Anolis sagrei: one gene and its partners. The main gene of each other region encodes a partner of the protein of the gene in region 3 in a complex. Links are inferred from orthologs where the notes say so. Each region holds a gene or a part of one and is shown on either strand. Other genes may lie near its edges. The genes, in order: TAF4, TAF13, TAF11 and TAF8.

Evidence for each region.
Region 1: TAF11 (region 3) and TAF4 share a complex: the UniProt entries of both Homo sapiens proteins name them as parts of the TFIID basal transcription factor complex. The link is inferred for Anolis sagrei from reciprocal best matches to the Homo sapiens genes TAF11 and TAF4.
Region 2: TAF11 (region 3) and TAF13 share a complex: the UniProt entries of both Homo sapiens proteins name them as parts of the TFIID basal transcription factor complex. The link is inferred for Anolis sagrei from reciprocal best matches to the Homo sapiens genes TAF11 and TAF13.
Region 4: TAF11 (region 3) and TAF8 share a complex: the UniProt entries of both Homo sapiens proteins name them as parts of the TFIID basal transcription factor complex. The link is inferred for Anolis sagrei from reciprocal best matches to the Homo sapiens genes TAF11 and TAF8.

Annotation. Positions count from the first base shown.
Region 1 is NC_090024.1:232,167,389-232,175,287, forward strand, and holds the start of TAF4 (transcription initiation factor TFIID subunit 4), read right to left. Parts: upstream 3,009-7,899; 5' UTR 2,999-3,008; coding exon 2,599-2,998; intron 1-2,598. UniProt on the Homo sapiens protein: The TFIID basal transcription factor complex plays a major role in the initiation of RNA polymerase II (Pol II)-dependent transcription.
Region 2 is NC_090023.1:40,844,016-40,851,217, reverse strand, and holds the start of TAF13 (transcription initiation factor TFIID subunit 13), read left to right. Parts: upstream 1-4,202; 5' UTR 4,203-4,283; coding exon 4,284-4,310; intron 4,311-7,202. UniProt on the Homo sapiens protein: The TFIID basal transcription factor complex plays a major role in the initiation of RNA polymerase II (Pol II)-dependent transcription.
Region 3 is NC_090024.1:189,429,068-189,436,856, reverse strand, and holds the start of TAF11 (transcription initiation factor TFIID subunit 11), read left to right. Parts: upstream 1-4,785; 5' UTR 4,786-4,819; coding exon 4,820-4,972; intron 4,973-6,633; coding exon 6,634-6,776; intron 6,777-7,411; coding exon 7,412-7,499; intron 7,500-7,735; coding exon 7,736-7,789. UniProt on the Homo sapiens protein: The TFIID basal transcription factor complex plays a major role in the initiation of RNA polymerase II (Pol II)-dependent transcription.
Region 4 is NC_090024.1:191,185,468-191,193,434, forward strand, and holds the start of TAF8 (transcription initiation factor TFIID subunit 8), read left to right. Parts: upstream 1-4,959; 5' UTR 4,960-4,986; coding exon 4,987-5,058; intron 5,059-6,611; coding exon 6,612-6,768; intron 6,769-7,347; coding exon 7,348-7,446; intron 7,447-7,567; coding exon 7,568-7,630; intron 7,631-7,967. UniProt on the Homo sapiens protein: The TFIID basal transcription factor complex plays a major role in the initiation of RNA polymerase II (Pol II)-dependent transcription.

The DNA of each region.
Region 1 (7,899 bases), about 43 Mb from region 3:
CACCCCTACTCCTGACACCTCAGCAACGGAGAATGGAGAGGATAATTCAGACTCTGAGGCTGAAGAGCAGGCATGGGCCAACTTTGGCCCAATATTATGATTATCATAATTTTAAGCAGGTCCCTGTCCCTCAATCCCTCCCCATCACTTCCTCTTCTGGGGGAAACTGTAATGAATAGCAACCCCTACTCCTGACACTTCAGGTCTTTTGGGGGAGATGGTGTTGTAATGAATATCAACCCCCTACTCCTGACACTTCAGCAAGAGAGAATGGAGAGAAGAATAATTCAGACACAGAGGCTGAAGAGAAGGCATGGACCAACTTTGGCCCACTATTACTATTACTATTACTATTATTATTACTATTACTATTATTATTATTATCATCATCATTCTTATTATTATCATAGTTTTAAGCAGGTCCTTGTCCCACAATCCCACCCCATCACTTCCTCTTCTGTAATGAAGGGGGGAAACTGTAATGAATAGCAACCTCTACTCCTGACACTTCAGCAAGAGAGAATGGAGAGAAGGATAATTCAGACTCAAAGGCTGAATAGCAGGCAAGGGCCAACTTTGGCCCACTATTATTATTATTATTATTATTATTATTATTATACTTTTAAGCAGGTTCCTGACCCTCAATCCCTCCCCATCTCTTCCTCTTCTGGGGGAAACTGTATGAATAGCAACCCCTACTCCTGACACTTCAGATCTTTTGGGGAAACTGGTGTTGTAATGAATAGCAACCCCTAATCCTGACACTTCAGCAAGAGAGAATGGAGAGAAAGATAATTCAGGCACAGAGGCTGAAGAGAAGGCATGGGCCAACTTTGGCCCAGTATTATTATAAATATTATACTTTTAAGCAGGTTCTGGGGGAAGCTGGTGTTGTAATGAATAGCCACCCCTACTCCTGACACTTCAGCAACAGAGAAAGGAGAGAAGGATAATTCAGTCTCTGAGGCTGTAGAGCAGGCATGGGCCAATTTGGCTCACTATTATTATTATGATTATCATTCTTATTATTATCATAGTTTTAAGCAGGTCCCTGTCCCTCAATCCCACCCCATCACTTCCTCTTCTGGGGGAAACTGGTGTTGTAATGAATAGCAACCCCTATTTATTCATTACATTACAACCTCCTGACACTTCAGCAACATAGAATGGAGAGAAGGATAATTCAGACTCTGAGGCTGTAAAGCAGGCATGGGCCAACTTTGGCCCATTATTATTATTATCCTAGTTTAAGCAACAGAGGAAGGATTATTCAGACTCTGAGGCTGTAGAGCAGGCATGGGCCAACTTTGGCCCAGTATTATTATTATTATTATACTTTTAAGCAGGTCCCTGTCCCTCAATCCCACCCCATCACTTCCTCTTCTGGGGGAAAGTGGCGTTGTAATGAATAGCCACCCCTACTCTTGACACGCAAGAGAGAATGGAGAGAAGGATAATTCAGACTTTGAGACTGAATAGAAGGCATGGGCCAACTTTGGCCCACTATGATTATGATTATGATTATACTTTTAAGCAGGTTCCTGACCCCTCAATCCCTCCCCATCACAACACCAGTTTCTGGGGGGAAACTGGTGTTGTAATGAATAGCAACCCCTACTCCTGACACTTCAGCAACATAGAATGGAGAGAAGGATAATTCAGATTCTGAGGCTGAAGAGCAGGCATGGGCCAACTTTGGCCCAGTATTATTATAAATATTATACTTGTAAGCAGGTTCTGGGGGACGCTGGTGTTGTAATGAATAGCCACCCCTACTCCTGACACTTCAGCAACAGAGAAAGGAGAGAAGGATAATTCAGACACTGAGGCTGTGGAGCAGACATGGGCCAACTTTGGCCCACTATTATTATGATTATGATTATTATTATTATGATTATTATTATACTTTTAAGCAGGTCCCTGTCCCTCAATCCCTCCCCATCACTTCCTCTTCTGGGTGAAACTCTAATGAATAGCAACCTCTACTCCTGACACTTCAGCAAGAGAGAATGGAGAGAAGGATAATTCAGACTCTGAGGCTGAAGAGAAGGCATTATTATTATGATTATGATTATCATAGTTTTAAGCAGGTCCCTGCCCCTCAATCCCTCCCTATTACTTCCTCTTCTGGGGGAAACTGTAATGAATAGCAACCCCTACTCCTGACACTTCAGGTCTTTTGGGGAAACTGGTGTTGTAATGAATATCAACCCATACTTCTGACACTTCAGTAACAGAGTATGGGAAGGAGGAAGAATAATTCAGACTCTGAGGCTGTAGAGCAGGCATGGGTCGACTTCAGCCCTCCAGGTGCTTTGGACTCCAACTCCCACCATCCCTAACACCCTCAGGCCCCTTCCTGGAAAGGAGGAGGCCTGGGGCTGTTAGGAATGGTGGGAGTTGGGAGTCCAAAGCACCTGGAGGGAGGGCCCAAGTTGGCCCATGCCTGAACATTGGCGGCCCATTGCGACCAAAACAACAAGGAGGAGAAGCTGGGTGGAAGGAAGCGAGGAAGGCAGGCAAGGGGGCAAGAGAGGAGGGCAAGAGGGGAGAAGGGGAGGCGAGGAGGCCCTCCTCCCTCTCCCTTCCCCAGGTTACCTGGCTTGGTGGTCTCTGGGCCACTGAGTCCCATCTTGGCGGCGTTACTGGTGACGGCAGTGGTTGTGGAGGAGGAGGAGGAAGAGGAAGAGGAGGAGGAGGTGGTGGTGCCGGGGCTCCCTGTTTGGCCACTGGCATTGCCTCCCCCTCCTCCTCCGCCGCCTCCTCCTCCGGGGCTGGGGCTGCCTCCTCCGCCGCCGCTCACGACATGGTTCCCCAGCAGCTGCCCGGTGGCGGCGTTGGCGGCGGCCCGGAGTCCCTCGGGAGGCCGGTGGTGGCCTCGGTGGTGCCCGGAGGCCGCCAGCTGGGACTCCAGCGAGCCCACTAGGTCGCTCACCACCTTCTCATCCACCTCCGCGTTCAGGAAAACCTCATCCAGCAGATCCGAGCCCGCCGCCATCTTTTTTCTTCCCTCCCTCCCTCCTCCCCCCTCCCTCTCGCGCGCGCTCACTCCTCCCTCCTCCCTCCTCCCCCCTCCCCTTCCCTTCCCTTCCTCACTCATTTTACACATACGCGGTTCCCGGCTCTCTCTCTCTCTCTCTCTCTGTCTCCCTCGGTGTGCCGCCACTGAGCATGCGCGCGGCGCGAGGAGAGGGATTCCGCCCGCTTCTGATTGGCCGCCGGCTGGGTATAAAAGCGGGCGCAAATGGCTCCCAGGGTTTAGTCAGGCGACGGGCCCGGCTGCGGCCTAGTCTTAAATAGGAAGAGAAATGAGGACTCAAAAGAGTGGTCGCCGCCGTCGCCGACTCAGAGACCCCGCAGTCTGACAGCCTCCTTCGCCGCCGCCGCAGTCGTTCTTTGTCTCTGACGAAACTCAAAATGGCTGCAGTCTCCGCCGCGGTGGCCTCTGCTGCTGTTGTTGTTGTTCCGCTCTCGCCGGGCTGGAGGAGCTTGGCGGCGGGGACTTGGAGCTACTCGACGCCGGCGCTTCACTGAGGGAACTAGGCCTCGCCGCCCGCTTTGGCTCTCTTCCTGCCCTTGAAGGACAGGAGGAGAGGCCCCGGCCTCTCCCACATGGTCTGCTTTGAACTGGGATCCCGAATGAAGCTGATCTGGGTTTATATGGCTGTGTGGAAGGAGACACTCCGGCCACTTCCACACAGCTGTACAAAGCCCACATTGGACTGGGTATGTGTCATTGTGGACTCAAATAACCCACTTCAAAGCAGATATGCTGGTATTCCTTGATCTTCTTGGGATATATGGCTGTGTGGAAGGAAACACTCCTGCCACTTCCACAAAATGTATTGTTGAAGGGTTGTTGTAGGTTTTTTTCGGGCTATATGGCCATCTTCTAGAGGCATTTTCTCCTGACGTTTCGCCTGCATCTATGGCAAGCAAGGTCAATTGGAACTAGGAAAGTGGGTTTATATATCTGTGGAATGACCAGGGTGGGACAAAGAACTCTTCTCTGTTGGAGCTAGGTGTGAATGTTTCAACTGACCACCTAGCTCCAACAGACAAGAGTTCTTTGTCCCACCCTGGTCATTCCACAGATATATAAACCCACTTTCCTAGTTCCAATAGACCTCACTACCTCTGAGGATGCTTGCCATAGATGCAGGGGAAACGTCAGGAGAAAATGCCTCTAGAACATGGCCATATAGCCCGAAAAAACCTACAACAACCCACTTCCACACAGCTGTACAAAGCCCACATTGGACTGGGTTATGTGGCAGTGTGGACTTAGATAACCCAGTTCAGAGCAGATATGCTGGTATTCCTTGATGTTCTTGGGATATATGGCTGCGTGGAAGGAGACACTCCGGCCACTTCCACACAATGTATTGTCGAAGGCTTTCATGGCCGGAATCACTGGGTTGTTGTAGGTTTTTTCGGGCATTTTCTCCTGACGTTTCACCTGCATCTATGGCAAGCATCCTCAGAGGTAGTGAGGTCTGTTGCAACTAGGGAAAAGGGGTTTATATATCTGTGGAAGGACCAGGGTGGGACAAAGAACTCTTGTCTGTTGGAGCTAGGTGGTCAGTTAATTTATTTATTTCGAGGTGTTTTATTTAATTTGTCCCACCTGCCCTGCCCAGCCAGACATCCCCCAAAGAGGGATTTGAACCGGTTCACAACATGTGTTAACATACAAAGAATATACAATAACAACACAATGCCACTTCATAACACGATTAAAATATCAGCACCATACACATTAAAACATTATCATCACAGTTAAAAGAGCCAAATCGTCCAACACCATCACAATCCCATTCATCATCCTCCTTTCATGTGGGCAAAGAAACATTCAGTTGAAACATTCACACCTAGCTCCAACAGACATGAGTTCTTTCTCCCACCCTGGTCATTCCACAGATACATAAACCCATTTTCCTACTTCTAACAGGCCATGAAAGCCTTCGACAATACTAAGAAACTTTCTGTGAATTGTGTGTCCCTATCTATCTATTAGAACAGCACAACAACAGAGAAGAAACAAACAAGGACATCTAATCACCTTTCAACAAAAGATTGCTCCAGACACTTCCAGGCAATCAATTGCTAATCAAGGTGGTCAGTTGAAACATTCACACCTAGCTCCAACACAAGAGTTCTTTGTCCCACCCTGGTCATTCCACAGATATATAAACCCACTTTCCTAGTTCCAATAGACCTCACTACCTCAGCGGATGCTTGCCATAGATGTAGGCAAAATGTCAGGAGAGAATGCCTCTAGAACATGGCCATATAGCCCGAAAAATACCTACAACAACCCACTTCCACACAGCTGTACAAAGCTTACATTGGACTGGGTTATGTGGCAGTGTGGACTCAGATAACCCAGTTCAAAGCAGATATTCTGGTATTTTCTTCCTTGATCTTCTTGGGATATATGGCTATGTGGAAGGAGAGACTCCGGCCACTTCCACACAGCTATATATAATCCACATTTAACTGGGTTATGTGGCAGTGTGGACTCAGATAACCCAGTTCAAAGCAGATATGCTGGTATTCCTTGATCTTCTTGGGATATATGGCTATGTGGAAGGAGAAACTCCGGCCCCTTCCACACAGCTATATACGAGGGGTATTTTTAAAGTAAGGTCCGTTTTGTTGTAGACACTAGTAGTTTGCGCGCATACCGCAACGAGCACGTGCGTCGTGTACCAGCATGCCTCGGGAACAACAGTGCTCAGTTTCCGCTCTGTAGCTCACCTGTACGGTTCTGTTCTGTGCTTTAAACATGTTTAAGACTATCAACTCACCATCCGCATGTGAGGTTTGCTCAGTGATACGGTTTTTGTCAGCAAGGAACCTGCCTGCTGCAGAAATTCATCGACAGATTTGTGAAGTGTACGGTGATACTGTTATGAGTGAAAGCAAAGTGCGTACGACAATTCAAAGATGGCCATGACAACGTCCATGATGAGGACCGCTCCGGTCGCCCTTCTTTGATTACAGACGATCAGTTGAAGCGAGGATTCGTGAAAACAGGCGCTTCACAATAACAGGTCTCTCAAACGAATATCCTGACGTGTCGAGATCAGTGCTTTACAACATTGTTTCTGAACACCTAAAGTTTAGGAAACCGTTCTCCCGTTGGGTCCCAAAACTCCTAACAGAGGACCACAAAAACCAAAGATTTGAGTGTGTGATCAAATCGTCTGTAATCAAAGAAGGGCGACCGGAGCGATCCTCATCATGGACGTTGTTACAGCCATCTTTGAACTGTCGTACCCACTTATGCACTTTGCTTTCTTGTAGGAGGGTTTTAAAAAGTGAGAGGGGCACAGTCCAACGCAATCCAGTGGTTAAAGTGCATTTGTAAGGACATTTTGCTGGGAGTTATACCTTTATTCCGGGAAGAGAGGAGGGAAAGAGCCAACCTATTCTCGCTAGAGAGAACATTCCACAGAGCATCCCTGTCCCTTGTCCCTGCCAAACACACTTGCAAAGAGGGTGGGACCGAGAGCAGGGCCTCCCCGGACAATCTTAAATCCCAAGGTGGGACGTCAAAGGAGATACGTTCGGACAGGTAAGCTGGGCCGGAAACGTACAAGGCTTTATAGGCCAAGACCAGCACTTTGAATTATGCTCAGAAATGGACCGGCAGCCAGTGGATCTGACCTAACCGGGGGGGGGGGGGGGGGTATGTTTCCTGTAGGTTGAACACTGAAAGCCCCACCCAGTTTTATACTAATTTATGCAATGCTTTTGATACGAAATAAATAAACCAAAAAGTAAGAAGTTAAATAAACATAGTATATCAGATTACACACATTTACCAACATAAAACACTTAGCAGCTACAGAGCATTAAAATATGGGGTGGTTTACTGCAACCAACAGGGCTGAGGTAGATTTCCAGTATCTAAGCAAGAGTATATAATTAAGATGTACTAATCCTCCTCCTCCCCATATGCTAAAGTGCATAAATAGGTTTTTATGAGTTTTTTAAAGGAGAAGAGAGAGGAGGCAATTTTTAGTTCTTTAGGGAGGGATTGGTTTATATGATATTTATTTATATCCCACTTTTTCTCTCCATATGGAGACTCAAAGCGGCTCACAACTAAAGCATTATTTATTTAAGGTATTTTTACCCCACCTTTCCCTGCAAGTGGACTCAATAATAATAATAATAATAACAATAATAATAATTTTATTTATAACCCACCCGATCTCCATGAGGGGACTCAGGGTGGTTTCCAGCAAATGATGGCAAACATTCAATACCATAAAAACAATACAAAATGAACAAATAGCCAAATGGATAAAACATCTATAACAAATTATAACAAATACAATGTTTAAATAATTAAATAAAACATATAAATGTATTAAACCTACAAAGTAACAAAACTAATTAGTTTTAAAGCAGTTAAAGAACATTGTATAATTTGTTAGTCGCCAACAAGCTAGAGTAAGGTGCTGTGTTCTAGTCAAGGTTGAAAACAGTAATAGTCTAACCCTCCTCTGGCTGCTTACAACATGTAAACATGCAATACAAAGTAAAAAAAAATAGTTAAAATCAATTACTCAATGAAACCAATCTCCCTCCCCCATATAAACCGCTTCGATCTTATTGTCCCCCTGCCCCACCAAATGTGTGATGGGAAGTTGTGGCCAATCATGAGAGAAATAAGGCTGAACACTGTTAAAGCCATCCACTGCATGACTATCAGCCTCCTCCCAGTAGCCTCAAATCAAGGAAAAGTTTCATGATATTCCCCCAGCAACAGCGAGAGCATCTCTCTGGGCAGCTAAACCAGGCAATCCCAACTGGCCTCCCAGGGGCAAACCAAGAATGGGCAACTTGGAAGTCCCTGGACAGACTCAGAAGTGGAGTTGGTAGATC
Region 2 (7,202 bases), on a different chromosome or scaffold from region 3:
GCCACAACTACCCCCCCTTCCACCTCCCTCCGGCACATGGCAAAAAGCATGAGGCAGAGGCGGTTTCGGCCCTCTTGGCCCCCTCACAGCGATCCGACTGCCATGAGGGGCCACGAAACTCCACCTGCTGAGGGCCCAGAGGGCCACCTCTCCATGCGATTTTTACCCTACTGGCCTGCGTCGGCGACGCAACCCTGCCCCATTCCGCCAGTATCTTCCCAAAAGATGTTTCTGATGAAGCAGGACGTTTGATCCCAGAATAACATGCGCCCATCTCTCTTGATAGCCCCACACTGAAGTGGCTAATCAGGGTAGCCCCCCCAACCGCTGGCAAGCTAGAGCCTGAACGGTCCCCTAGCAAGAGAGCCCGAGGCGATCAGCCCTTGGCAGCTAGGCAGTCCGAAAGGGAAGGGCTCCCTCTCCAGCGTAGCTCCAGCCAAGGCCGCAAAAGCGAGCTGAGTTGCTATTCTGGACCTCAAACGTGGATGTTCGCTACCTCCCGCCAGGAATTTGTTACCGAGACCTAGAGAATCCCTCCCCAGTGGGCCGACTCCGAAGCTGGTTCAGAAAGCCTAGAATCCCCTCCCACCTGGCAGCCAAGGCAGCCCGCGGTTGGCTTCTTACCCGTCCGGACGTTTTCTTCCCCCCTTTCCGCGTCGGTCGCTCCTCTTCCTGGAAGTCCTTAGATCAAGGCTTCCCTGGCGCTCCTTTGTGCTGAAACCCTAGGTCAGAGCTTGGGAGGAAGTGGCTGCGGGAGAATTTGTAGTTTTGGTTAGCTGGTCAAATGAAAGTCCGAATTGGGAGAGGCGCCTCTTTTCCCAAGCCGTTCCTCCTTCGCTGCTGGCCCAAAGAATCAGACCAAGGCGCCTGCTTGAGAATTTAGGCTATAATTTAGTCTGGAACCTCAAGCAGCAGTCCCTTCGTGGTAAAGCCAAATGATATCGAGCTCCTTTTTTGGAGGGTTCTCCCAGCGAGGGGGAACCCTGGAGACCTCTAATGGGGTCTTGACCTTGGCGAGCTGCCAGCAGAAGCCAATCCAAAGCGCACAATATTAAGAATTAATCTCGCCAGAGGCTGAAGAGGTACCCAGCGACCGAAGCGTTTATTTAGCGATTCAGCTGAAAAGGATGCATTACAGGGATATTTCCTCAAGTAAGCATACAGTACAGTGATTTTCAGGCATATTTATACAGACAGAACAAAGGAATCCTGGCTTGAATCTCCCGCCCGCCTCCTGTCAGTCCCCTCTGTCCTGGTTGGCCGGCTCTGGAACAGCTGGGAGGAGGCTTGGCCGCTGGTCCCACCCTCCCTCCAATCGCCGGCCGCTGTTGCCTCCAGAGGGCCAATCAGAGCCCTCGGAGCGCCTCCAGAGATTGTCCAATCAGCGGCCAGGAGGCGGGCTCTAGTTTGACAGCGCAGAGGGGCGGAATGCCTGGGAGGCGACTGCCAGCTGATGGAACACCTTTTGTCTCTTCACGGCAGGGAGGCGGATGGGGAGAACAAGGGATTTCCTGGGTCTTGATAAAAGATGTGTATGAGCAACAAAGGGAGGCTATGGATGGTGTCTGGATCTCAACCCTGTAGGCAAAGGAGATCCTTTGACACAAGGGAGCATACACAAACACCATAATTGATGCAATCAGTCTGTTTATCCGGGCTTCTGGCTGATAAAATCTCTGACTTTTGTTTGTCTGAACTCTGAAAAACAAAGCCATAGATTCGCCAGTATTTTCCATGCAATGTCAATATGAATGGAGCTTCTTCCAAGGAAATTGGATTTCCTTAACTGTAATCCCCTGGTCACATATTCTTTTGTAGGGCAAAGTTCAAGAGGGGAAATGCAAGGAAAGGGTGAGGGTACATTTCATCACATTTCATTACATATTATACATATTTCATATATATTTTCTTCATAGGCTTTCATAACTCATAGATTTCATAGGAAAGATCCCCATCCCGTCCCAGCAAAGTTTATTAGAAAACCCACAGCAATTAATAAAGGCAATCATCAGAGTCCCTGAAGTATTATTCTTTGCACGAAGGCATGCACCCACAGGCGGGGGCCATGCTTCTCAAGCGGCTGGTTTGGAGTTCATAGAGGAAGTCCGTGGCGCTAGGGCACCAAGTCAATCAGAGAAGGCAGAAAGATCCGCAAAGAGTCCGCAAATGGTGGAGAGTGGGGCAATGTCCTTTGGAGAACTACATTTCCCTGATCTTTGGGCCAGGGTCCAGTGCACAAGCCAGAGAATTCACAGAGAGGAAACAGGAACCCAGTTATGTGTGCTGGGTCAGGAAGCGGCAGAATCCATTGTCTGGCCCTTGGCGAACTACAAATGCTTGGGGGGGGGGATGCTCTGCATCAGAATCACTGGGTTGCTGTAAGTTTTCCAGGCTGTATATATCCGTGGAATGTCCAGGGTGGGGGAAAGATATACAAACCTCACTTGCCTAGTTTCCAACGGACCTCACAACTTCTGAGGATGCCTGCCATGTGGGCAAAATGTCAGGAGAGAATGCTACTGGAATATGTCCATGCAACCTGGAAAACTCACAACAAAGAATGGGAATATATCTGAAAGCACTTACGTGAGACCTGAGCGCAATGCCAAAGGATACAGTTTGTTGTGTAGAGGCCAGCCCATAGCATCCCTAATTAAACATTGTATTATTATTGTAGCAGAACCTGGGGAAAAATGACTGTTGTTGGAAATGTTAACAGAACTCTGTTGGCCTCTCTTCTTCAGAGGCCAGAGCAAGGAAATACTGTATAAACTAGGCCTACCTCAATACCCGTATATTTATTTATTTAGTTTAAGGATCGCTCTCAGAATCCCTTGATTTTGCAACTCAACTAAACAGATAAGCTATTTGCTTATTCCAAAGCCGAGGGGCCACCATGGTGAAGGCACTCTCCCTTGTCCCCACAAGTCGCGCTTGCGCCTCCCCAGAGGATCGAACAGGTCGTACAGGTTCATAGAAGGAAATATGCATGGAGCCTTAGGTAAATATAAAAGTTTCCCCTTGACATTAAGTTTATTTAGGTAAAGTTTTCCCCTGACATTAAGTCCAGTTGTGTCTGACTCTGTGGTGTGGTGCTCATCTCAATTTCTAAGCTGAAGAGCCGGCATTGTCCGTAGACATCTCCTAGGTCATGTGGCAAGCATGACTGCATGGGCCACCATTACCTTCCCGCTGGAGCGGTACCTATTGATCTACTCAAAATCAAATCAATTGATCTACTCACATTTGCATGTTTTCGAACTGCTAGGTTGGCAGAAGCTGGGGCTAACAGCAGGAGCTCACCCCACTCCCCAGATTCAAATCGCCGACCTTTCGGTCAACAAGTTCAGCAGCTCAGTGGTTTAACCTGCTGCACCACCAAGGCTCCATGGGACCTTACATTTGCTCTTTAATGGGAATGGAGTATTTATTTATTTATTTATAAGTTTTGTATACTGGCCTTCTCACCTCTCTTGAGGGACTCAGACCGGTTTCCAACCATAATATCACATACAATCAATAAAACATCATAATACATATTACAGTAAAACATTAAAACAGCAATTACAATAAATAACTATAATGGTTAGTCGTCACACTAAAATCGTTGCTCATCATCCTCCATCCATATCTCAGGGTGTTGGCTCACTCGTCGAATGCCTGTCTCCATAACCAAGTCTTCACCTGTTTCCTAAATGTCAGGATAGAAGGGGCGGTTCTGATCTCCAGTGGGAGAGAGTTCCAGAGTCTAGGGGCCACCACTGAGAAAGCCCTGTCCCTCATCCCCACCAGACGCGCTTGCGAGGCCGATGGGACCGAGAGCAGGGCCGCTCCAGACGATCTTAATAATCTTGATGGTTCATAGGGGAGAATACGTTCGGAGAGGTAAACAGGGCCAGAGTCGTTTAGGGCTTTGATAAGAAAATAACCTTTGATAAGAAAATAAATGTAGGCCAATATTACTAGTCCTTTTCCCATCCTGAGCCATGGCAGTTAAAGTGGTATCCAATGCCCAATAAGTCTACAGTGTAGATGCACTGAAGTATGGCTTTATGAGAGCAGTGAGGGAAAAGTACTAGATGGGGTCCAAAGGCCTAGTGTTCTAAACAGAGCCTGACACCTCTGGAGAAGGGCAATGTGAGTGATAAGTGCAGCTGTGGCTGCCTTTCTTCGCAGGGCGCATGCTCAGAAGTTCTTCGTGAAAGGACCAATCGCAGCGCGGGCGGAAGTGCTTCCTGATTGGCCGGGACAGTGGGACAACATTTCCGTCGCTTCCAGGAATCATGGCGGACGAAGAAGAGGATCCTCCCGTGAGTGAGGAAGACAGGGGCTCAGTTTGGGGCGAGAATAACATTGTTTTTAGACTTCCTATCCTTCTTGGATGCCCTTTGGGAGGCTGAGGGGGACACTTGCTGCCTTCAGAGCTTCCCTAATTCATGGCAAGACCGTGGGTGCATCTACACAGTAGAATTGATGCAGTTTGGCACCACTTTAACTGTCATGGCTCAGTGCAGTGGAGTGCTATGGTTTGTAGTTTGGCTAAAGGCCTTGTAAAACTACAACTCCCAGGATTGAGACGTGGCAGTAAAAGTGATGCCAAACTGCATTAATTCTACAGTATAGATCAGGCATGGGCAAACTTTAGCCCTCCAGGGGCGTTGGACTCCAACTTCCATAATTCCTAACAGCCCCGGACCCTTTCCTTTTCCTGAGGTTGTTAAGAATTGTGGGAGTTGGAGTCCAAAACCCTGGAGGGCCGAAGTTTGCCCATGCCTGGTATAGATGCACTCTGAGTATAAAATAGTTGTGATGTTGTAGGTTTTTTCGGGCTATATGGCCATGTTCTAGAGGCATTCTCTCCTGACGTTTTGCCTGCATCTATGGCAAGCATCCTCAGAGGTAGTGAGGTTACTACCTCACTACCTCTGAGGATGCTTGCCATAGATCAGTGGTTCTCAACCTGTGGGTTCCCAGGTGTTTTGGCCTACAACTCCCAGAAATCCCAGCCAGTTTAGCAGCTGTTAGGATTTCTGGGAGTTGAAGGCCAAAACATCTGGGGACCCACAGGTTGAGAACCACTGCCATAGATGCAGGCGAAACGTCAGGAGAGAATGCCTCTAGAACATAGCCATATAGCCCAAAAAAACTTAAACAACCCAGTGATTCTGGCCAAGAAAGCCTTCGACAATACATATAAAATAGATGTTAAAGCTATCTTGAAGCCAACAATTAAAATTAAATGATTAAATACAGTAGCTGAACTTAACCCCTGAAACCATCCACACTGCAGAATTATAGCAATTTTCCACCACTTTCACTGCTGTGTCTCCATTCTCTAGGATTTGTATTTTTTGTGGAACTGACAAAGAAAGGTAGATATCTCACAAAACTACAAATCCCAGAATCCCATAGCATTCAGTCATGGCAGCCAAATTGCTATAACTCTACACTGTGAATGTAGCTCTCTGTTGAACTTGAAGACCTGGAAATGTTCCGTTGGAATTAGACTGTGATGCTATAATAATCCTGTGCAGATTTTCCTTGGGGGAAATCTCACCCACTAATATGAAATTTATTTTGTACTAGGTGTATTTAGAATTTGCCAGTTTTGTCATTACAAACTTTAAACCATAGAATTATAAGAGTTGGAAGAGACCTCGTGGGCCATCCAATCCAACCCCCTGCCAAGAAGCAGGAAAATCCCATTGAAAGCACCCCTGACAGATGGCCATCCAGCCTCTGTTTAAAAGCCTCCAAAGAAGGAGTGTCCACCACACTTTGGGGCAGAGAGTTCCACTGCTGAAGAGCTCTCACAGTTAAGAAGTTCTTCCTGATTTTCAGGTGGAATCTCCTTTTCTGTAGTTTGAAGCCATTGTTCCATTGCGTCCTAGTCTCCAGGGCAGTAGAAAACAAGCTTGCTCCCTCCCCCTATTACTTCCCCTCACATATTTATACATGGCCATCATGTCTTCTCTCAGCCTTCTCTTTGGTAGGCTAAACAGCTCTTTAAGCTGCTCCTTATAGGGCTTGTTCTCTAGACCCTTGATCATTTTAGTCACCCTTCTCTGGAGACATTTGTTGGCTCATGTGGTATAGTTATCTTGAAAATATTTGTAAGAATTCTGTTTGATCAAAGCCATATTTAACTCAACATTTTCTTCTCACATTGGCCAACCTGATACATAAAGAAAGCCTACAGGCAGGACAGGAGCACAATAGCACTCCAAGGCCTGCTTTCCTCAACAGTTGGGACTAAAAGATCTTCCAGTACCGGTTGCCATTATTACTAATAGCCATTGGTAGTTTATTTATTTATTTATTTACAGAGTATATATTCTGCTCTTCTCACCCCGCAGGGGACTCAGGGTGGATTACAATGTACACATATGGCAAACATTCAATGCCAAAGACACACAACAGATATAGACAAACAGCCAGTGGCTATTTAACTTTTCAGTCGCCAGGGCAGCTGTCGCTTTAATCGTCCATCTGCGACACTTATGAAGTACTTCCGCATTCCCCGCATGCTTTTGCTGTAGTGCTTGCTGGAGTCCTTTTTATGGCCTCATAAATTAGTTAAATTAGCCTCCCCACACATAGGTGATACCTAATTTTCCTACTTGACAGATGCAACTGTCTTTCGGGTTGCAAAGGTCGACAACAAGCTACACAATTGGCCAGAAGTTCATTCCAACCCGGGCTGGCTTCGAACTCATGACCTTATGGTCAGAGGTGATCTTAATGAAGCTGACACTCAGACAGCTGTGCCACATTCCCAGTGTTCCATTCTTCGTTGATTTCTCTATTTCTGTTTTGACGCTGTTGTAGTTGGCAGCCATCCCTACATTTTTTCATAGTGAATGCATTTCTTTTTTGTCTAGTGTAAATGTCCTGCCATTCAGCTTTATTATATGAGTTGAGGTTTTATTTTGACAAGTGAAAGATAAAGCTATTTCCTATCTACTTTTCCCACAGCATACATATTTTTACATATTTATGATGTCTCCAACACCTTTATTTTATTTTTTAAAAACAACATTGCTTCATATGGGAGCATCTTTAGCCTTCTTATCATTTTAATGACTCCATTCTGCATTTTTTTTCTAGCATTACAGTATATCTTTTGAAGTACAATAAGGAGAAGTATACGTGATTCCCAGTGCATTCCCACTATAAATGTATATGGCACTGTGATATTGTTT
Region 3 (7,789 bases):
ATTGAAACTAAGACTTTGCCTGAGATCTTCATTAGAACGCTGCTGACAACAATCTAATTTGGCACAATTGTCTAGAATGATGAACAAATGTTGCAGTTAACAAAGTTGTCCACCCACTTTTGTCTTTTCTTATCTTTCATCTGTCATTAGGGCATTACTAATGTGTAGCTTCTCCTTCAGTTGTAGGACAATGGGCCTCTTAGCTGGCTTGTAAGTGTGTGATGCGAATTTCACTTCTGTGCATCTATGGTAATAGGATATTGTATCAGGAATGTGTAAATGATGGACAGTGCCCTTGAAGGCAAGAGGATGTAGTAGGTATTTCTATGATGGAGACCAATCACATGCAATTACCTCTCTGAACACCTATGTGAAGACGTGAACCAGATGCCTCATAAATTCAAAAGGGGAAGGAGGTACTGTGTATGATGACAGCATATAGCAGGAGTCTGGTATTCCTTTAGTATGCATGAGATATTAAAAAAATTGAATCCATCCTTTCAAAACACAGGAAATGAGACAAAACATGAATTAATACAGCTGAATATGCTAGGATGATGTGCATGCTAATTTAGTTTGCTCTTCCATTTCTGGTCAAACAGGTTCTGCGGATTTATGAAGTATTACAAGTGTTGCAACATTTATTTGATTAGAAGCAACAGTTGGACAGAAACTAATGTACATGCCGAGCAGTTATACCAACCCTCATTTTAAAAAATGTTACTAGCTTCAATATATCCAACAGGTTCTTCACTAAGTATTTATCCCACCTTGCCCACTGAAATAATAAATGGCATGTCACATTGAGATGGTGTTGGTTCTCCTGGTAGGGAACATACTAAACTCTTTCACCAGTGAGTTGACTTGATGGATAAAGGCATCTGCAGTTAATTTCCCCTCTACTTACTGCAAATGTATTGGAAGTGGTAGCTTGAACTCAAAGGCACAATCAACCTTCAATCATAAGTTCTGATTTGCATTCTGTTGCTGCAATATTTCAATTTTGTATCTGTGTCTGGTGCAAGTTTTATATATGTGTGTGTGTGTTTGATCAAAATTGTTTATTTTATATATTTTATGTTAATATGTTTTTGACTATGTTGTATCCCGCCTCGAGCCATCAAGAGATACAAGTAATAAGAAATTTATAATTTTTATTACTATTATCATTATTACTTGAACTCTGGAATATGTCAATGTGTGATTTCCTGTATTCTTTTCCTATACTATTTACACCATGCTCATACTTGAAAGCATTGCACTAAATCAAATTAGTTCCAACTAGAATAGCCCCATTGAACCAGTGGGACTAACATATGTGTTGATTTATTATCCAGCAGCTGATGTACTGGGGCCCCTTCTACACTGTCATATAATCCAGATTATCGAAGCAGATAAATCACATTATCTGCTTTGAACTGGATTATATGAATCTACACGATCACATAATCCAGTTGAAAGTAGAGAATCTGGACTTTATATGGCAATGTAGAAGGGGCCTGGGAGTACTCTAATTAGTACTAACAATTTAATATAGCCCATTATCTTGTCAGATGTAGGGTGTATCTATGCTGTCAAATTAATGCAGTTCCATAGCACTTTAATTCTCATGGCTCCATGCTATAGAATCCTGGGACTCTGCCAAAGAGTGCAGGTGCCTCAACACAGGCTCTCTTGAGCTCATTTTGCTGATGTCAATTAAACAACATTAAACAGGGCTCTGAAAATGAAATTTTCAGTACAGGTTCATCAAGTTAGGCTAGATTGCTATCACATCTGAAGTATGCTTCAGAGACAAGTATGTGCTGGCCATTGCTCCCCTCCCTCTTGTTATAGTCAGTTGTAAACAAATTCTCCACATATCTAGAATGTGAAGAAAAGCTGTTGTGGGTTGCTGTGAGTTTTCTGGGCTGTATGGTCATGCTCCAGAAGCATTATCTCCTGACGTTTCACCCACACATATGGCAAGCATCCTCAGAGGTTGAGGAATCTGTTGGAAACTAGGCAAGTGAGGTTTATATATCTGTGAAATGTCCAGGGTGGGAGAAAGAACTCTTGTCTGCTTGAGGTAGGTGTGAATGTTGCAAATGGCCACCTTGAGTAACATTTAATGGCCTGGCAGCTTCAATGCCTGGCTGATTGCTGCCTGGGGGATTCTTTTGTTGGGTGGTGTTACCTGATGGAGTATTGTCTGGAATTCCCCTGTTTTCAGAGTGGTGTTCTTTATTTACTGTCCTGATTTTAGAGGGTTTTTTAAAATACTGTTAGCCAGATTTTGTTAATTTTCATGCCTAGTTTCCAATGTATCCCTTAACCTCTGAGGATGCCTGCCACAGATGTGGGCAAAATGTCAGGAGAGAATGCTTCAGCAGCATGGCCATAAAGCCCGGAAAACTCACAGCAACCCAGTGATTCCGGCCACTAAAGTCTTCGACAACACAAAAGCTATCATGCTTTTAGGAAAGTAATAGAATATTTGATTTTCACCAGAGATTTAATAATATTAGCAACTCTGAGGCTATATAGACCCAAGTGCCTGCATGCCTTTGATTTTCATACATACGAGGGGTGTCCATTAAAGATTTCCCCAACCCTCTTCTATTTATCACAGGATGCTGAAACTGCACATGTGTAATGATATAAGTCTCTATACGTTTGTGCCAATTTACACCTCAGAACGGATAACAGTCTTGATTTTACAGGTGTTGAAGTGGTGTGAGGTTTGATAATGGACCCAGTGGAATACATAGCAATCCTCAAGTTCCTTTACTTGAAAGGCTGCATACCAAAGGAGGCGTTAAATAAGATGAAAAAGGTTTATGGTGATGATTCTCCATCATATGAGGTAGTCAAGAACTGGCATCGTCAATTCAGATGTGGTCAGACTTCGGTGGAAACAGCTCCAACTCTAGGAACAACCCATTCTGCTATTGATGAACACATCATCCAGCAAGTGGAGGTCACCATTTTGGAAAATTGCCATTCACCACCTAGCCTGATATGTCAAGATTATTGTGGAGTCTTTGGAAAAAATCTCCCAAGACCATCTTCACATGCATAAGGTATCCTCTCGCTGGGTCTAGGTAGAGAAGGACTAATAACTGTGTCAAGTTTGATTGCTCTCAGTCCACAGGAAGTGGGTCAGGGAAAATCTTTAATGAATGCCCCTCATATCTGTTGTTTCGACATTTCTGTTCACTGAAGGCTACAACTGAAAGAAAGATGGTAGAAAACCATGCCTCACATGTGTGTTAATTTAAAACATACCAAAGCGTGCCTGAATCCTGACCACCTCAGTATTGAGGAAGTTCTCAAATACACAACTAAAACATCTCCTTGGACAGTGATAATACAAACAAAATAGGTTGAGCATCATTTATCCAAAGTTCTGGAATATGAAACATGCCGAAATTGTCCGTATGGGCAGCTGTGCTTTTTGATGGTTCAATGTACACAAACTTTGTTCAAGGCACAAAAATATTGTGTGTAGAATTGCTTTTGGCCTATGTGTATATGGTGTATATGAAACACAAATGAATTTATTGTTTAATCAGGTTCCATATTCAAGATATTTTGTGCATAGAAGGCATGATAATTAAGTTTGCAGATGACACCAAATTGGGAGTGATAGCCAATATTCCAGAAGACAGGAGCAGAATTCAAAACGATATTAACAGATGAGATGGGCCAGAACTAACAAAATGAAGTTTAACAGTGACAAATGCATGATACTCCAGTTAGGCAGAAAAAAAAATGAAATGCAAAGATACAGAATGGGGGATGCCTGGCTTGAGAGCAGTACATGTAAAAAAGATCTTGGGGTCCTCGTGGACAACAAGTTAAACAAGAGCCAACAATGTGATGCGGCAGCAAAAAAAGCCAATGGGATTTTGGCCTGCATTAATAGGAGTATAGCATCTAGATCCAGGGAAGTAATGCTACCCCTCTATTCTGCCTTGGTTAGACCATAACTGGAATACTGTGTCCAATTCTGGACACCACAATTGAAGAGAGATATTGACAAGCTGGAATGTGTCCAGTGAAGGGCAACTAAAATGATCAAAGGTCTGGAGAACAAGCCCTGTGAGGAGCGGCTTAAAGAACTGGGCATGTTTACCCTGCAGAAGAGAAGGCTGAGACACGATAACCATGTATAAATAAGTGTGGGGAAGTCACAGTGAGGCGGGAGCAAGCTTGTTTTCTGCTGCCCTGGAGACTAGGACACGGAACAATGGCTTCAAACTACAAGAAAGGAGATTTCATCTGAACACTAGGAAGAACTTCCTGACTGTGAGACCTGTTCAGCAATGGAACCCTCTGCCCTGGAGGCTTTTAATCAGAGACTGGATGGCCATCTATTGGGGGTGCTTTGAATTCAATTTTCCTGCTTCTTGGCAGGGGGTTGGAATGGATGGCCCACGAGGTCCCACGAGGTCTCCTCCAGTTCTAGGATTTGAAAAAATAAAATAGAAATGTTTTTGATCCCAAGCATTTCGGAGAAGGGCTGCAGCTTGGGGCACATCTACACTGTAGAATTAGTGAAGTTTGACACCGCTTAATGCTATGAACTTATGGGAGTTGTAGATTTGCAATTTTTTTTATCCTCCTCTGCCTCAGAGTGGTGGGACTTCACCAAACTACCACTCCCAGATTCCAATGCCGTTAAAAGTGGCATCAAATCCATACAGTGCAGTGCTGTAAGGACACAGTTGCTTCCATGAGAGCTCAGGCTTGGGCTGGCTTCTTCCGTTGCCAAGGAAACGAAAGGGCAAGGCGGCTGCGATGACGTCATCAGGGCGCGACAGAGGCCTTTCCCAGTATGGCGGAGCCGGCGGTGTCTCGCAGAGAAGAAGCCGTGCTTGTGTCCGGTGCGACTTCGGGCGAGGAGCCGCCTGTCTCTGCTGCGGGGGCGGCTGACGGGAAGGAGAAGGGCCCCGGGGAGCCGAAGGAGCGGGAAGCGGCGCCTGGAGAGGTGGGAAGGGAGGGGAGGGCCTTCTATGATCTTTCAGCTTTGAGCCAAGGCTGTTCTAATGGGAGCAGGCCGCATTTATGCTGCAGCAGGCCTGGGCAAACTTGGGCTCTCCTTCCAGGTGTTTTGGACTCCAACTCCCACCATCCCTCACAGCCTCAGGCCCCTTCAAACTGGTGGCCAGAGATAACAAACTGTCACAAAAAATGTGCAAAATAAAGCCCTCAAGGTGCATCAGTGCTTTGTGTCATCATCATGCAGGCTTCAGATTCATTCCAGGATCTCCTAAGCAACCATCTACACAGCAAAACCACGTTTTTCAATACTGGTTTGAAGCAGCATTAAATGGTCAGTGTAGATGTGCCCTGTGTTATCTGAAAATTGTGTCACCCCCCAGAACTGTTTTTGCAAATTCAAAGGAAAGGGGCTGCATGGAGAATGGAGGATTGCACACTGTGATGGAACCCCTCTTCAGGTTGATGTCGTGTTCAAACCCTTGAGATTTTCCCAGGCTCAGGCAGGCCTTCAAATGCTAATGAAGGTGGTCAGTTGAAACATTCACACCTAGCTCTAGCAGGGAAGAGCTCTTTGCCCCACCCCAGCCATTCCACAGATATATAAACCCATTGTCCTATTTCCAACAGACCTCACTACCTCTGAGGATGCTTGCCATAGATGCAGGCGAAACGTCAGGAGAAATGCCTCTAGAACATGGCCCTATAGCCCGAAAAAACCCACAAGAACCTAGTGATTTCAGCCATGAAAGCCTTCGACAATACCTTGAGCTTCTGTCACTCATCTTGCCCTTTTACCTTAAAGATTCCCTCCCAGGACCTGATACTGAGGCTTCATGGAGACCACTGCACTGGGCAAGTGAATGGGTGATCAGTGATAAAAGGGCAACCACCTCTAGTTCAAAGAAAGTCATTTCTCCTTGAACCTTTACAACTCTTTCAGCTCCCTAAAACCTATTACAATTTTATGAATCCATCTCTTTCTACAAGGTCCTGAGTTTTATCCATATTCCTGTGTTTCTGAAGGACCCCGGCTCTTTAACAGACAAGCCTCTACATCAGAACTTTTAAAACATTTTCCACTTGCAACCCCTTTCTGTCTGATAATTTTTATGCGATCCCAGGTATATAGGTATATAAAATAGGTATAAAAATTACACATTTACTGATAATAAATCAGCATTTGCAAGGCTTGCTAAACAGAATGATTTTACTTTTTGAAAAGTATAGCTGAAACATTTTCAGCGGAATCCACTGTAAACACTGTTGCTAACAGTTTTGTGTAAATCGGTGGTATTCAGAACCTTTTACTGCTGCCACCCCAAAATTGACTTTATTTGGGGTCAGGACCCACAGTTTAAGAAGCAATGATCTATATTTTCTCCTTTCCACTACAAGTCTCTCATCACAGCATTCTGTAATTGTAATAGGCTGGCTCTTTACTTCACACACACACTTCCCAGTTAGACCTGGCCCTGCCATTCTGCCAGAAGAATGCTATCTTTGTGTTTTGCCCATTTAAGACAGATTCTTAAATTGAATTTTTTAGTGTTTATCAGCTATGATTTATAAGTTCTGTCATGAGTTATGGTTAGACATTTAAGAACTATGTTAGGATTATAGCTAAGCTGAAAATAATTTTCTTCTTAGATCAGAACTGAGGATTCTGTAGGTCTGCTCACAGGAGAGACAGAGGAGTCAACATCTTCTGCAAGCAAGAAAGTAAAAATAGAGATAAAAGATAAAAAAGATAAAAAGAATAAAGTTGATGAAGATGAGATTCAAAAAATGCAGTGAGTACTCTTATTTTACCTGATGCATAACTTTCGTTGTTCCTAATAACCTGTAGAAGACTAAACTTGCTAGTGAACAATATTGTACTTTTTTGTTTCGCGCTGTTATTTATTGGAGATACACGCTATTAAGCACTTGATGGGGCTTGCAACCTCTTTGTCTATGCTTCCCCCCCATAAAGATGGAAAAGCTTATTTCAAATAAGTATGTAATAATTACTCCTAAATTAATTTATTGATATGCATTCCTGTCCCTTTTAGACTATTTTTACGGGACTGGATCCAGAAAGCCAGTGCATGCATATTCCTTTGTCTGCAGTAGCAGTCTGTGCATCCCTTAAAAGTTTGGTTCCTGGTGTGAGATATCCCTGGGAGCACTGGAGGAAATAAAATTGAAATTAGTGAAACTGATGCTTCCCTCTCCCAATCAGCAGGAACATTCATAATGGAATATGCGTCAGAGCTACCATTGATGCAAACAAAGTCTGGAGTCAATCCATTCTTTTATCAATAGGAATTATGTTATGGTATTGTCTCTGACTTCCAAAGCTGTGTGCTTCCTGTAGCTTTAAGTGTGCTACCAGTTGTAGATCGAATGATGTCTCTAATTCCATGCTGTTATTGTTTTCCTCAAGAATACTAGTTTCCTCTTTTTCTGAAGAACAGCTAAATCGCTATGAGATGTATCGTAGATCAGCTTTTCCGAAGGCTGCTATTAAACGGGTAAGGTTGTGCTTTAGTCTGGTTTGAACTGTTTTAGATTTGCCTGTTGATTTGATCACTATGTGTAATATGAAGAATGTAGATGCAGTGTTTTGACTGGATAAAATCTGTCATTTTGACTTATCCCAGTCAGTGATGCAGCTACTAGGATTGTTATTACATAAGGATGTATAAGATTTAAAAATTACAAATGCACATTTATAAAACTGGATTTTGTATCCTTTCTCCTTTCTCAGTTGATCCAGTCAATTACTGGAACCTCTGTCTCTCAGAATGTGGTTATTGCCATG
Region 4 (7,967 bases), about 1.8 Mb from region 3:
AGTGATTCCGGCCATGAAAGCCTTTGACAATAAATAGAAGGATGTTTGATAAAATAGAAGGGAATAGAAAAATAGGAAGACCACATTTTCATTGGACAGATACAAGGAAGTCATGCTAGATTTGTAGGACTTGAACAGGACTGTTGTTAACAGAGAAATGTGGAGGTCTCTCATTGAGCCAGAATGATATAGTGGTTTAAACATTGAACTGTGACTCTGGGTTTATGGACTAGCATGGATCCATTTTAAAACCAGCTTCTGCCCCCTGCAGAATTCTGGGACTTGGGGAGTTTAGGGAGGAGCCTTTAAACTGCTAAGCCAGAGGGGTCCTGGTCTCACTAAACTACAAAACCCAGAATTCTGCAGGAGGCAGAAACCAGATTTGAAGTAGATCCATGTCCTAGTGCAGGGGTCCTCAAACTAAGGCCCGGGGCCGGATGCGGCCCTCCAAGGTCATTTACCCGGCCCTCACTCAGGGTCAACCTAAGTATGAAACTACTTGAAAGCACACAATAATAACAACAATCCTATCTCATCAGCCAAAATCAGGCCCACACTTTCCATTGAAATACTAATAAGTTTATATTTGTTAAAATTGTTCTTAATTTCCTCCTGACTATTTCTCCAAATTATTGTATTGTTGTTTTTTTTTTTGCACTATAAATAAGATATGTGCAGTGTGCATAGGAATTCATTCATATCTTTTGCTCTAGTGTGATGAAGTCCCTATTCAGCCCTGGAAACCACTTAATGACCTTTGACAAGTCACACTCTCTTAGCCTCAAAGAAAGGCAATGGGAAACCGATTCTGAACAAATCTTCCCAAGAAACCCCTGTGATAGGTTCGCATTAAAGTTTCCATAGGTCGAAAATTACTTGAAAGTAACTACAGCAACATTAATAGAGTTGCCATAAGTTGAAATCAACTTGATGGTTTTTAAGAACAAATACAAAGAAAAACACTCTTCTAACAAATATTTTTTCCAAAACAGTTTTGAACACATGCAAACACACACATCTAGCTAAAACAATCAGACAAAACTATGATGGTTTTAAGGATCAAGGCTGAAGTAGCACTGTCTTGGTTCTTTGTTGGTAGCTCAAGTTGAATGGAGCCATCAAGGTGTCTCCAGGGAGGGAAATCCATAATTAGGATGTCACTACAAAGAGAACCTTGCTACATTTACCTACCAAGATAGGATGCATCTCCACTGTAGAATTAATGCAGTTTGACACCACTTGAACTGCCCTGGCTTGATGCTATAGGTTCATGGGAGTTGTAGTTTTATAATATCTTTAGTCTTCTCTGCCAGAGTGCTAGTGCTTCAACAAATGAAAACCCCCATGATCCTATAGAACTGGGCCGTGACAGTTAAAGTGGTGCCAATCTGTGTTAATTCTACAGTAGAGATGCACCCGGTGGAGGGGCATGCAGTAGCACCTACACCCAGGATCTCATATCACTGGTCAGAATCGTTTATGTGTACATGTTCTGAACAACAGAAGCCACTTCAAGACTGCCAAAAATATTCACAAAAGTTAGTAGAGCAAAACTAAGGTCCCTTCTACACTGCCATATAATCCATTTTATCAAAGCCTATAACCCACAGTGTTTGCTTTGAACTGGATTATATGAGTTTACACTGCCATATAATCCAGTTCAAAGCAGATAATGTGGACTTTATATGGTAGTGTAGAAGTGCCTAAGTGAGGAAGGACAAGTTTGGGGCAAATCTAATGGGCACATGTAAAACATGTATAATAAATAGTGCTCTTCTTTAACATCTAAATCCAGTTAGGATCATATAGGAACTTACTCAGCAACAATTCCCAAATACAAAAACAACAATCCATGCATCTGATGAAGTGGGATGTAGTTCACAAAAGCATATGCTATCCCCCCCCCCCCCTTTAATTTCAAGGTGCCAGAAGATTAATTCCTGTCCACTCCCACATACGAATTTTTGCAATGGAATTTAATTAATTATTTCTGTGGAAGTCTGGCTCTAACCACATACATTAAATATTTTATCCAGGACCAAGTTGTGGTGAAATCCATATTCACTCTACATTACTCATATGACTGCATGAATCTTGTGGAATTTCTACAGGAAACATTTTCACACATTCATTTCAGCCCTTCCTTGCTGGGGCTATTCTCACAGGACAAGAACTTGCTACTGACCTTGTTTAAAAACATCAAAAAAGTAGCTTCCTACCTCATTGTCGATGATCAAGAAGCTCAATTCTCTGATGACACTTTTTAAAAAAGCAACAATGCAATGTTCCCGAATTTTAATTTATTTTAGTTAATTTTCCCTTTCTCCAAGCACCATTGCCAGAAAGTCGTGTTGCTGAAATAGGCACTGTGAGTTAAATCAACACAACCGAAGACCTTTAATTTCCAGACTTCTGACGGTTGTTTACATTTCTATACTTCAGCAGTGTAATTGGTTGGAACAATACTGTCTGTCACATGTATTGTGCTTGGGCAGGAAATGGGGATCAGAGGGGCTACAAGATGTGGGTTTCCTGTTCTGCAGACTGTAACGCACACATGTTTTTGTCCTCAGTACAATAATCATCCATAGAAAAAAAGAAAGTGAAATGGGAGAAGACACAGTGTTAGAAGCAGCTCTGAAAATAACAACAAATAAGCATTGCAGCTTCTCCAGATGCTCAGACAAAACCAAAACAGGCTCTTTATTTACAAACATTTTAAAACTGATTTACAAATCCGATGTAGAAATTTCCAAAGAATGAGACAGTTATTGGAACACTGTGGGCTGGATTAGAAACATTATCAAATTGCCAGCAATGAATCTTAATGTTTCATAAGGGACAAATGAGAAACACAGCATGCATCTATACTGTAGAATTAACGCAATTTGACTCCACTTTAACTGCCCTGGCTCAATGCTATGGTTGGTGAGGCAGGGAATTCTCAAGACACTGTAAAAATATACCTTTCATGATCCCATAGCACTGGGCCAGGGCAGTTCAAGCAATGTCTAACCTTAGATTCTGTAATGCAAACAGGGACTTGTATTATCACAACTTGTAAATCTTGAAACATGGTTCTCATGCTCCCTCTCAACCTCCCCTTCTCCAGGAGGAAAGGAGGAAGGAAAAAGAGAAGGAAGGAAGGAAGGAAGGGAAAGAGAAGGATGGAAGGAAGGATGGAAGAGAATGGAGGGAGGGAAGAAAGCGAGAAGGGAAGACAAAAGGAAAGGAAGGAAGGAAGGAAGGAGAAAGGGGGAGAGAAGGAAAGGGGAAAGGAAGGGGAAAGGGAAAGAAGGAGGGAGGGAGAAAGAGAGAGGTAAGGAAGGAAATGAAGAAGGAAAGAAAGAGAAGGAAAGACAAAAGGGAGGGGAGGAAGGAAGGAAGCAAGGACAAAAGGAAAGGAAGAGAAGGAAAGACAAAAGGGAGGGAAGGAAGGAAGGGGGGAGAAAGAGGGAAGGAGAGAAGGAGAGAGAAAAGAGGGAAGGAAGGGTGAAAGGGAAGGAAAGAGGGAGGGAGAAAGAGGGAGGTAAGGAAGGAAAGGAAGAAGGAAAACAAAAGGGAGGGAAGGAAGCAAGAATGAAAGGGTGGAAGGGAAGGAAGGAGGGAGAAGGAGGGGAGGGAGGGAAGGAAAGAGAGAAGGACAGAAGGGAAAGAAGGATGAAAGGAAGAATGGAAGATAATGGAGGGAGGGAAGAAAGAGAAGAGAAGACAAAAGGAAGGGAAGGAAGGAGAAAGAGGGGGAGAGAGAAGGAGAGAGGGAAGGAAGGGTGAAAGAGAAGGAAGGAGGAAGGGAGAGGGAGGTAAGGAAGGAAAGGAAGAAGGAAAGACAAAAGGGAGGGAAGGAAGGAAGCAAGGATGAAAGGGTGGAAGGGAAGGAAGGAGGAGAAAGAGGGAGATGAAAGAGGGAAGTGTGAAAGGGAAGGAAGAAGGGAGGGAGAAAGAGGGAGGTAAGGAAGGAAAGGAAGAAGGAAAGAGAAAGAGGAGGGGAGGAAAGAAGCAAGGACGAAAGGGTGGAAGGGAAGGAAGGAGGGAGAAAAAGGGAGAGAGAGAAGGAGAGGAAAGAGGGAGGGAAGGATGAAAGAGAAGGAAGGAGGAAGGGAGAGGGAGGAAAGGAAGGAGGAAAGACAAAAGGGAGGGAAGGAAGTAAGCAAGGACGAAAGGGTGGAAGGGAAGGAAGGAGGGAGAAAGAGGGAGAGAGAAGGAGAGAGGAGAAAGGGAGGGAAGGATGAAAGAGAAGGAAGGAGGAAGGGAGAGGGAGGAAAGACAAAAGGGAGGGAAGGAAGGAAGCAAGGACGAAAGGGTGGAAGGGAAGGAAGGAGGGAGAAAGAGGGAGAGAGAAGGAGAGAGAAAAGAGGGAGGGAAGGATGAACGAGAAGGAAGGAGGAAGGGAGAGGGAGGAAAGGAAGGAGTAAAGACAAAAGGGAGGGAAGGAAGGAAGCAAGGATGAAATGGTGGAAGGGAAGGAAGGAGGGAGAAAGAAAGAGGGAGGTAAGGAAGGAAGGAAAGGAAGAAGGAAAGACAAAAGGGAGGGAAGGAAGGAAGGACGAAAGGGTGGAAGGGAGAGAAGGAAAGAGAGAAGGAAGGATAGGATGTGTGAGAAAAGTGCCCAAGGTTTGCCCTGCCCTCTATAGGTGCATCTACATGTACAAACTTTGGCCCTCCAGGTGTTTTAGACTCCAACTCCCTACTGCCTGTTAGGAATGGTGGGAGTCGAAATCCAAAACACCAGGAGGGCCGAAGCTTGCCCATGCCTGGTCTACACTATTGAGTTAATGCAGTTTGGCAGCACTAGAACTGCCATCTATGGAGTGATGTTGCTTGGTGAGGCAGAGAAGGCCCAAGGCGTGGTCAGATTCTCACTTCATTCTCCCAGCGCAGCAGGCGAACCCTCCCTCCCTTCCCACTCAGCAGCAACACACAGGATGAGAAGGACAAGCCCCACTCTGAGAACTACAATCCCCAGAATCCCTTTCGCCGGCGCGCATGCTCGCATCCTCCCATGGATCCAAGATGGCCGACACAGGGACCGGTGGATCTGGTAGCAGCTCGGGCACGGTAAGGGCGGGGCTCTGAGGGCGCGACTCTCTCTCCTTTCCCTCTTTGTTTTCTGGGTCGAAGGGGGCTTCTTCGTGGGCCAGGGCCTCTGCCTTGGGCCCTCAACACGAGGCGTAGAGGCCCAAGAGCGAAAGGCAGGGCCTGCTTCGGATTGGAGAATCAGGGGAGGCGGGCGGGTCTTGATTGGTCGAGCTCCGTTGGCCCTGGTTGGCTGGGGCAGGTGCCAATCATCTTCGGACCCATCTGGGCCCATGTGGGTGGCCCAGAATGGTCGCAGGTTGACACCACTGTCACTACCATAGCTCCATCCTATGGAAAAGTGAGAGTTGTAGTTGATTGTGGCACCAGACTCTCTCACACGGGAAATGTCCCGCAAAACTACAAATCTCAGAATTTTATAACATACATCCATAGCAATGTATTGTCATAGAATCCAGAGTTGGAAGAGACCTCATGGGCCATCCAGTCCAACCCCCTGCCAAGAAGCAGGAAAATTGCATTCAAAGCACCCCCGACAGATGGCCATCCAGCCTCTGCTTAAAAGCTTCCAAAGACGGAGCCTCCACCACACACTGGGGCAGAGAGTTCCATTGCTGAACCGTCAGGAAATTCTTCCTAATGTTCAGATGGAATCTCCTTTCCTGTAGTTTGAAGCCATTGTTCAATTGCGTCCTAGTCTCCAGGGCAGCAGAAAACAAGCTTGCTCCCTCCTCCCTGTGACTTCCTCTCACATATTTATACATGGCCATCATGTCTCCTCTCTGCCTTCTCTTCTGCAGGGTAAACATGTCAAGTTCTTTAAGCCGTTCCTCATAGGGCTTGTTCTCCAGACCCTTGATCATTTTAGTCCAGGCCCTTGATCATTTTGTCAAAGGCTTTCATGGCCAGAATCACTGGGTTGTTGTAGGTTTTTCAGGCTGTATGGCCATGTTCTAGAAGCATTCTCTCCTGACGTTTCGCCTGCATCTATGGCAGGCATCCTCAGAGGTTTGAGACCTCACAACCTCTGAGGATGCCTGCCACAGATGCAGGGGAAACGTCAGTAGAGAATGCTTCTAGAACATGGCCATACAGCACGAAAAACCTACAACAACCCAGTTCATCTGTAGCAGTTAATGTGGTGTCAAACTGCTATATTTCTGCAATGTGGACCAATCCCTGCTTGGGCTGGAAGCATATCTTTGCTGCTCTGTACTTGGAGATTGGACTTGCATCTCAATATAACATCCATTTAGGTTTCATCTTATACACATAGCTTGAAGGCAACCACCAACAAAATTGAAGAAATTATACTTTAAATTAAAATCTGTTTTTATAATATAGTGAAAAAGAAAAAACCCAGGTTATTTTGCATTAAGTTTATCTTTATTTGCTTTTAATTGTTGTATTTCAGTCTTAATATCAAGTCAGTACAAAATTTATGGTATAGTATGATTAAGCATACTTTTCAGAGTAATCCTCACTCAAGCAGAATCTACATTTATCTGTTAGTCCCCTTTGTGTCCATCCTTCATCCATTCCCTGCATTTTCTTGGTTGATTTTGCCCCAAAAGCGCTCAGGTGGTAAACACTCTACGACTCCTGCGGATAACTATTATTTGGCTCGAAGGCGGACCCTGCAGGTGGTGGTCAGCTCTCTCTTGACAGAGGCTGGGTTTGAGAGCGCAGAGAAGGCCGCTGTGGAAACCATGACGGAGATGCTCCAGAGCTGTGAGTAGCCCCCAAATGATGGCTTACATTAGAAAGACAGTGCCATTTCCTTAGTTTAAAATCACCATTCTTTTAGATATCAATAACAGATATTTTGAATTTACATTCATCATCGCTTCTTTAGTCAACTAGCTTGTCTTTTCACCATTTGGTATCCCAAATGACAATAGTTGAGTTAAGTTACCATTATGTATGTGGGTTTGGGATACCTTTCTTTTGAGTTTCTTTTAAATGTGTTTGTATGTGTTTTGCTAGTAGTGTGCTTTGTATGTTTTTGAATTTATTTATTTTTGGATGTATATGTGATGGCTTTAGTAGATATACAGCGCTTTTGTTATAATGCATGTGCATAAATTTTTTGTGTGTGGTATGTGTAGCTTGTACATTTACTCCTCTTGCCTATCTATGAAATGGGCATCTTGTTCTGTTTTGTGATTTAAATGTACAATTTGGCCTTTGGATCTCCCATGCCTGTCTTGCATTTAGGGAGGACTTTGGAAAGGATTTTTGGGGGGAGTGTGAGAGAATGAAGGATATATATTTCAAATCTCAGTTCCGTGGTGATCTTTGTTTTAACAGATATATCAGAAATAGGGAGGAGCGCCAAGTCTGTCTGTGAACATACGGCAAGGACTCAGCCAACCCTTTCTGATATTGTCGTCACCTTAGTTGAAATGGGTGAGTGCCTTTATCTTACATGGGTGTAACGCTGGGAAGTCAGGTAGAAATGGGATTATATACAGATGCCAACAGACTGGATATTATTGCTTTTAACTTTTCCTCTTTTTGTGTGTTTCAGGTTTCAATGTAGAAACGCTCCCTGCGTATGCCAAACGGTCCCAGAGGATGGTGATCACTGCACGTACGTGAGATTTGGTCTAGTGACAACTATGGTGAGACTGTCCCTAGGACTGCCAACCTCCCCCCACAAAACAATAACAGAAACCCACATAATGACAAATGACTTCTTCCAAAACCCAGACGTCGTCAGATTTGAATGTTATGCAATGTAGTCCCCCACAACTTGATTAAAACTTGACCTGCCTCCCCTGGAAGCATTTTATTCTTTCCAAGAGCTCTTGAAGAAGGTAATTAGGTGAATCCGAAAGGGCTGAGGCTTTCAAGGACAGCCTTGATGGTAGCATGATGCCCAACAGCCACACTTTGCTCACCCCAGTTTTGTTGTCTTCCTAATGTGT